2 linked regions of the Neurospora crassa OR74A genome follow. The protein of the gene in region 1 purifies or fractionates together with the protein of each later gene. This does not show direct contact. Links are inferred from orthologs where the notes say so. Each region holds a gene or a part of one and is shown on either strand. Other genes may lie near its edges. The genes, in order: NCU05803 and NCU03690.

What was found.
Region 2: the proteins of NCU05803 (region 1) and NCU03690 purify together in Saccharomyces cerevisiae (affinity purification with mass spectrometry; 3 studies listed by BioGRID). This does not show direct contact. The link is inferred for Neurospora crassa OR74A from reciprocal best matches to the Saccharomyces cerevisiae genes GCN1 and KAP104.

What each region holds. Positions count from the first base shown.
Region 1 is NC_026507.1:3,886,424-3,889,954, reverse strand, and holds the end of NCU05803 (translational activator GCN1), read right to left. Parts: coding exon 1,363-3,531; intron 1,266-1,362; coding exon 711-1,265; 3' UTR 521-710; downstream 1-520. UniProt on the Saccharomyces cerevisiae protein: Ribosome collision sensor that activates a translation quality control pathway when a ribosome has stalled during translation. Directly binds to the ribosome and acts as a sentinel for colliding ribosomes.
Region 2 is NC_026505.1:2,091,220-2,095,811, forward strand, and holds the start of NCU03690 (importin beta-2 subunit), read right to left. Parts: upstream 2,850-4,592; 5' UTR 2,278-2,849; coding exon 2,176-2,277; intron 2,086-2,175; coding exon 1-2,085. Other genes in the region: NCU03691 (hypothetical protein), read right to left, coding at 4,280-4,534, 4,586-4,592. UniProt on the Saccharomyces cerevisiae protein: Functions in nuclear protein import as nuclear transport receptor. Serves as receptor for arginine/glycine-rich nuclear localization signals (rg-NLS) and PY-NLS in cargo substrates. Its predominant cargo substrate seems to be mRNA-binding proteins.

The sequences.
Region 1 (3,531 bases):
ATCCTAGAAAGAGAAAAAAGAAAAAAAAAAAAAAAAAAAAAAAAAACGTCGACGTGATTCTGATGTCTGTCTGCTTGATGATGTTCATGCCCCTTGGGATGCCTTATTATACTGCATACTGCGTAGTAAAGGCGATTTTTGGCCTCGTTCATCGTTAGCGCCATTCGTGAGTACCTACCTACCTACCTACTGTATATACCTACACCTACAAGTACATCAGCTAACCACATGTATCAACATCAACCACACAACACCACACCATCCAAATCATCACATATTCATTCGACAAATGTAAAGCACACAAGGTAATGTACATATCTACCTGAGCTTCAGCTAGCGATTCTTTTGTTCAACTGCATGCTGTATGCTTGACGCTGATCATCAGACCGCACGACCGACCGTCCGCCATTTCGCATTTCGCTTCACTCAGGGGCATTGGCATCCCCCACCGCCTTCTCCTGAACAAGATCATCCAACCAACCAAACACCTTGCAGGCATCATCATCATCATCAACCGAAATATACGCTACAAGACATAACATTACTTTTCATACCGCTTATTTCACAACAGTTCTATCTAATGTACAGCACAGAGATATAAAGAAAACATCTTTTACCCAACCGGCGGTCTTTTCGCTTTCCTTTTTCCTCCTTCATGTCTTTTCCCTTCCGCTTTTTTTTTCCTGCTTCATCTTCTTCTTCTCCCCCAACTAATCAAACATCTCCCCCCCACCCGCGACATCCACCCGTCCAACACTCATCAACTCCTTCTCATCCTCCACCTCATCATTGCTCAATCCCAATCCACCCGTTCCACCCTCGGCCTCTCTACGCTCGCGCACCTGCGCACCCAAACGAAGTGCCACGCGCTTAAAGTAATCCTGCATGCTCCTCTTGACATTCGGCGCCATATTTCCTTCTTGCGATTCCAAGTACTTTTCAAACACCTTGCTTTCCTCATCGGCCACCGCGAAAAGCTGGACGAAAGCGGCTTCGGCGGCCAACTTGACGGGGATGACCATGTCGCGCACTGAGGCGAAGACGGGCGGGGCGAGTAGAGCCAGATGGGGACGGACGAGGTCGGGGTTGGTGCGCGCTAGAGTACGAACAAGCACGAGGGCGAGACGGCGCGAGTCGGTCGGTTGGCCCGGTGGAAGGAGGGTGGAGATGGTGCTGAAGAGGGGTTTGGTTGCTTCGAAGGATTTGGGCACGGGGGAGAGGAGGTATTTGCCCGTGGCGAGGATGAAGTTCTCGGTGATGAAGGTCTGGGGATGAGTTAGTTAGGGTCCTTGCTTACATGGGGAGAGAGATGGAAGGGGAGGTGAAAAAGGCTGCTGTGGGGAAGGGAAAGGAAAGACTCACGTTCTTGCTTGCCATGCCCTGGCACAAAAGCTCAGGCAAGTCATCCACCAACGAAGACTCCAAGAGGGTCTCAGGGCTCTCCAGCAGGACGGCGTTCAAAGCCAGAACACTCGAGTTGCTAAAGTCCCTGGTCAGGACTCTGTTCTTGAGAAGCTGGGCAGCCACCTCGTCCGAGACGTTCTTGACAAGGGCACCGAACAACTTGGCGTAGGTGATGGTCATGGTGTCGTCGCGCTCGTCCGCCTCGGTATCAATAAGACCGAGGACGGCGGTGCGAGAGCCCTCGCCCATGTTGGCGCCGGCCTTGCTGATGACCTCGTACAGGGCCTTGAGCATGGCCGTCTTGACGCCGGCGTCGGAAGTCTTGGAGCCCGTCACCAGCTCGGCGATCAAAGGATCCACGCGGGGAGTAAACTTGATAAGAGTACCCAAAGCCTTGGCGGCACGACTGCGGAGCACGTCGCTGGATGTGTCTGCGAGCGACTTGGCAAAAGTGCGCTGCAGCTGCGGCAGGAAGGGCTTGAGCGCCGTAGGCATCTTCTCAAGCAAGTTGTTAAGGGTAAGCAGAATGGCGGACTTGACCTCGGTAGAACGTTCGGAAACGACACGAATGAGCGGACCGGTAATCTGCGTGACAAACGGCTTGAGCGAGGCCTCGCTGGTCCTGTCGACAATGTCCGAGATGGCAAGGGCCGAAGCCACTCTCTGATCTGCCGAGCCGTTCATAAGACCCTGCAGGAAAATCGGGAGAATGGCGTTGATACCCTTGGGCAGCTCGAAGCCGCGCAGGTTGACGCCGGCAACGCCAACCTGGAGGAGGGTCTGGCGAGTAGAGATGACCAAGTTCTCCATGTCTTCCTTCCTAAGCTTCTTGGTGAACTCGCTAAGCGCGCTCCAGGCAGACTTGACCACGTCCATGTCCCTATCATCGAACGAGAGCAGGAGAGAGCGGATGATATCCTGGTTGTAGCGCGAGTAGTCCACATCGGCCGAAGCAAAGAACTTGGACAGGTGGAACGCGGTAGACGCTCTTCTGCGGTGATCGTCGTGCTTGAGAAGCTGCAGCAAGGTCTGCATAACCATGTTGAGACCGTCGTACTCGTCGATGGACAGGATGACAGTGTCGAACGACTCGTCAAGCTCCTCGCGGAGAGTATCGTCAGTGCAGTTGATAATGTTATCCATAAGCGAGTTGATGATGCTGGGCAGACGACGGTTCATAGCCGCGCCGGCAACCTTGGACAACGAAGCCAACGCCTTGGCGTTGAAGGAAGAAATAGGAGGCTTGATAAGGCTGGGGATGAGGTTGGGCAGTATCATGTTGGAGCGAGTAGTCTCGGTGAGCAAGGTGAGCAGAGCCGCAAGAGCATTCTCAGCCTCCTCCTCATTAGCGAGAAGGGTGAGAAGGAAGGGCATAACCTCTTCGACAGCACGCTTGCCGAGAATCTGCTGCAAGGAATCGAAGGCCTCGGCGGCGGCTTCTCTGACATCTTCGTCGCGGTCGGTAAGCGCGGTACGCACAACCGAGATGAGCGTCTTCTCGTGATCCTCGAGGGCCTCGGGAGAGGCAGAAGCGATGAGCTCCTTGAGGGCAAGGCAAATACCCTGTCTGGCATCGACATCGCTCGAGGTCTGGAGACCTTCCTCGAGAGTGGGCAAGAGTGTCGCCAGAACGCCGTCGCCAGCCTTCCTTATCAGCTCGCCCAAAGCATTGCTGGCAATGATCTTGTGCTCCATGTTAGAGCTGCCGAGACGGCGGATAATGAGCTGAGTGAGAGTGGGCACAAGCTCCTTAAGAATGCGAGGACTGTGGACAAGAGCCTTCCACACGCTGACAGCAGCGGAGCGGACGGCACCCGAGGTATCGCAACGGCAGATGTAGAGCGAGGACAGGACCTTGTTGCGCTTTTCCTCTCCGAGAATCTCACGGAGAGAAGCACCGGCTTCCTTGACAGTCTCGATATCCTCTTCCTCATCTTCACCATCAGTGACCTTGACACCGGTAAGGTTGAACAACAAATCACCAACGAGCTCGACGGAGCTGAGACGGATACGGTAGCTGTCATCAGCAAGACCACGCTCAAGCTCGGGCAGCAAGAGATCGACAGCTCTAACGGCAAAGTTCTTAACCAACAGACGACCAGCACGGAGGGCAGTCTCTCTAATCGA
Region 2 (4,592 bases), on another chromosome or scaffold:
GTATGCCGATTGCTGAACGGCATCGGATTGATCCCCCATGCACAGAGCCATCAGCTCAAAAAAGGTTGGCTGGACGTTGGCAACAAGCTTGGAAGCCTTGTCGTTGTCTAGGGCCTGGATGATGGCACTGAGAAGATCGAGGCTGGTGACCAGGAAATCCTCATCAGGTTGATCAAGATCGGTGTTGGTCTTGGCCTTCATGGCCTGCTCCAGGTTTTGATGAATAATTCGAATACACCTGCCGAAAATAGGCTCGGCGTAAGGGGTGAAGGCATCGCCAAGGGCCATAGCGACGTAGGAAAGGCACTCGAGCAAGGGAAAAAGCTCCCGGGACTCATCACCCACCTTCTGCCACCTATCCAGTAGGACTGGCATCAACTGGTTACTAAGCTCAGGCCTAGCCAGGACGGGGCCGATGTGCTCAGCCAGCGTCTGAACGCAGTCGTAGAGAACCCACATATTCTTATCCTTGTACTTGCCGAAGCACCGGATGTATTGCTGGATGATGGGTCCGCAGTAAGGCTCGAGCGCCTTGCCTGCCTTCTCTTCTAGGTTTGCCATGGCAGAGGCACCAGCCTCCTGAACGTTCTTGTTCTTGTCAAGCATCTTCTTGAGAATTCCGTCCATCATAGGCAGGAAGTATCTCTCCTTTTCTGCCTGATCCACAAGGCTAACCGCCCACGCAGAGTATCGACCAAGGGTCCAGCAGGTAATCTGGCGAACCACCGGCTCCTCGTCGTCGAGGAGACTAACAAGATAGGGCACCAATTCTGGAAGGTGGGGAACGACCACGTCCATGCAGCCCTCAGCAACAGCACCAAGGGCGAGAACAGCCGCTTCTCTGTAAGACCAATCCGCGTGCTTGAGGTTGCTCTGCAAATATGGTAGAATAGAAGTGAAGACTGGTCCGCCAAAGTCGCGAGCAAATACATCAAGTGCCGCCGCTGAGCACTTGCGGAGAGTCCACTTCTCATCGGGATTCTCATCTCCCTCGGACTCGCTGTCGTCAATTTCGCCATCTTCCAAATCATCGTCGTCTTCCTCCATGCTTGCAACCTTCTCGAACGCGTTTCCATTCTTCGCCATATCAGCCGCAGTGTTTCCGTTAGCAGCACGGGTCAGCTTCTTCTTGGCGAACTGTGGCTTGATATCCTCCTCCCGGTCTTCTTCATCCTCATCGTCCGAAGCACCTCCAAGTATAGCAATATCCTCGGGACTGTAGACCATGCACTCCAAAAGTACGGGGATGATGTCTGTGATGTACGGTTCCAGGGCCCGCCACAGGTTATCGTGCTCTCCAACAGTCAGCCAGAACTCGGCAGCCTCAGTGGCAAGATCCTCGTCGTCACCCTTTTGTTGAGCGATGATGTACTTGGCCAGGCCTTCGATATGGGGCAGAAGCTTGTCCGGACGGGTTTCCACCAGGTTCACAAAAGCACGGCAGACCTGTTTTCGGACATCGATTGAGGGATCTTCAGCCAGAGCAAAGAGGTGCTGTAGAAGGTCATCTATCGAGTTCAGCATGGCCTGCGACTTCCTAGGGGTGAACACATTGATGGCTGTGAGAGCATGGGCGCGAACTTTGGGAATTGCGCTCCTGGTTGCCTGAATAAGCTTTGGAAGGAGAAAGTTGATAGGTCTTTGGCCGTTGTGTTCCCTTTCTAGCATCTTCGCATTGTCTTCGCAGATCTTTGCCATGGCAGCCATAGCTCCCTCCTGCGCCTCGGGCGTTACCTGACCAGACTCATTGGTCAACATCTTGAGCAACTCGGGCAGAAACTCGGGCCAGCCGTAGATTCCTCCCTTGTTAATCAGCTCAGTCGCAAGAGTGCCTGCATGACTGCGGATCTGTGAGTTCTTGTCCTGGAGCCCCAAGGGGACAGCCAACTTGACAAGAGCCAAGCTCTGTTCTGGAATCTTGTTATAGTTGTTCTTGATGTTGTTCTTCAGCATCAGAGCGGCGGCACAGCGCACAACATGCCAGTCTGCAGCAGTCGCTGGAAACTCCTGGGGTGGTTCCGAGCTCGAGAAAATCAGGGCCAAGTAGTTGTTGATATCGGGCGAAGCTTTCGCTTGGTTAAGCATCTGGTTTATAAAGACAAGTCAGAATCTCTGTCTTGTGGCAATGCTCCATCAGACTGGGTAACTAGATGGTGCCGAGGGGCATTAACTCACGATTTCAGCCTGCTTCTGGGCGGCCTTGTTGAAGGCGCTCAGGGAATCCTTCAGACATTGTGCCAAAGTCTTCAGGTTCTCTCCACTCGGTTGCCAAGCCATGGTGATAATTGGGATTGAAGTGACACAGGCGCGTAACGTCGGCGATGTGTCGTGTGGTGGCGGCGGCGGCGGCGGCGGTTGGTGGGTTCTCGGACTTTGATATCTCGTAGCTGACGAGAACCAGAACGATGGTGTCGGGCCGATACCGGTGAACTGCTGAAGAGTCGAACGCAGAATTGGGAGGCCCAAAGAAAAAAAGAAAAAAAAATGGCCGACTCGAATGAACTCTCTGACAGTGCAAGTTCAGTTGTGAGAGAGGCGCCGGGTCACCACAGCGCGGCCTTCAAGGCGGAGGTACTCTTTAGGGTTCGTTTAGTTGAAGCTGGTCGTGGGTAGTCGCATCTGGCAGGCCGACGGGTAGCAAGAGCTGCAGACAAGAACCGGCAGTTTGTCCTCGGGAAGGAGGCAGGGTGTTGTTTCGTTGATGAAAGAGATCGATACCCAGAAGCAATTGCCAGTGGTTACCGGTAGGTCGACATCGATGGTGGTCGTGGGTGGGCGGCGGGCAAGGCTCGAGCAGGGCAATGTTTAATGTGGGGTGCAAAGTGGGCCTTGGCTGGCCTCTATTTTTTGCTGTGCCGTCAAGTGCAAGTGGTCGAGGGGAAGGGAACGGAAACTTGTTGAAGACAAGTGGAGGTGCCGCCCCTGCCCTGCACACCTGCACTGGCACTTGTGCGATGCCAAGCCTGCTCGCCTACCTAGGAGATGCGGGCCTGTCAAGAAATGTGGCAGGTGTGGTCAGTGGTCTTCAGGTGCTAGCTCTGCGTGGGCGGTTGTAGCTTCGTTCTGTCCAAGAGCGGGGCCGGGGCAACCTCCCATGGACGCTTGATGAGGTCGTCGTCTCTCTCTCCCGCTCTGTACCTCTCATGTATGGCGGCCACCCGCCCGCTTGATGGTTGCACAAAACCCCTTCTGATAATGCTAAGCTTCCTGCTACCTACGTATGCACGTACGCGCCTTGAAGTGGATGGCACCGTTACAGCAGCAACTCATTAATGCCCGAAGGAAATCGAACAGCAAATGGCACCGGGGTCATTCATTCAAGAGGAGTCATCGGCAGAGCTTCTGGCGTCGCAGTCAATGAGACGCCCGGCCCTTTGAACCTCGACCAAGGGCCTGGCCGAGACTTTGATACTTTTGGGTTCGTCCCATTTCCCAGCTTGTGAACCACCCTACCTATCGGGTCATATTTGGTTGAAGAAAAGCTAGGTTTTTTATGCGTTGTAAGGATGGGATGGCAGTAAGGGTAAGGTATCCTCTCTCGCATGTGGCCTCTATTTTAGTTTAAAAGCCTGCTTGGTGGGAACTGAGTTTCTAGACCGCTTTCTATGATTTGGGAATTGGATGGCGAGTTTTCCTCGTCACCTCTTTCTCTCCTTCTTGCTGTACAGACCGGATGATGTCCATCCAGCACAGGCGGGATACCAGTCGTCCTTTTCAGACCTACCAGACACATGGAACTTGGATGTCGCCAGAAGGTCCACGACAGTGTTGCTGTGTAACAGACGACTGAGATCTGCCAAACCTGCCAGGTCAGCTTTGTGAGCCGATCTATCCCGCGGCCATGTTGATGTGCCAAATATGAAACTGCAGATAACACCCTTTGCCTCATCATAACCAGGGCTTTGGGGTTCAGAACATTTCCGTCAATTCTCTGAAGGTTAATCGCCTTCGGCCATGCCCCGTCGGGATATGGTGCCAATCCATATTGCTACCAATACCCGACATGTATCAAGCAGGTAACCGAACACGAGTGACAGTTCCATGGCCTTCTTGGGTCATGGATTCGTGGGAAACGACACGCCTTTGTGGCACGTTCAAAAAAAGGTGAGTAGGTTAGGCAAGCTCAAACTAAGCGTTTGCGGAAATTCGTTGAGAAGGGAACTGCCGGAATCCCCTTGGCCAAAAGGCCGAGGTGTTTGTGTGCAACAACTTGTGCCCATCAACAGTAGCAAAAAGAAAAATTGTAGTTGGGAAGGGTTCTTTTGTCAACGTTCGAGGCTCAGGACTGGACTCCATTGGGCGTCGCGTTGGCAAACTCAAGTTTGGATAGGACAAGCTCGGCTACCTGTTTGAAAGCTTCCATCTCCTCTTCAACAGTCCCGCCAAGGCCGGCACTGGCAAAGCTCACCGAGTTGCCCACATAGGTAGGCAGTTGCGTCCTCCTTGTGATCAGCTTTGCCAGTCGGGTGGTAAACTCCAACGTCGGCTCAACCGTACAAAGAGGAGTTGACAAAGGCTGTGTCGGGTTGTATCTCTAGACCAAGATTAGTCACTGTAAAATGTATCGAATAGGCGATCAACTCACATCGGGC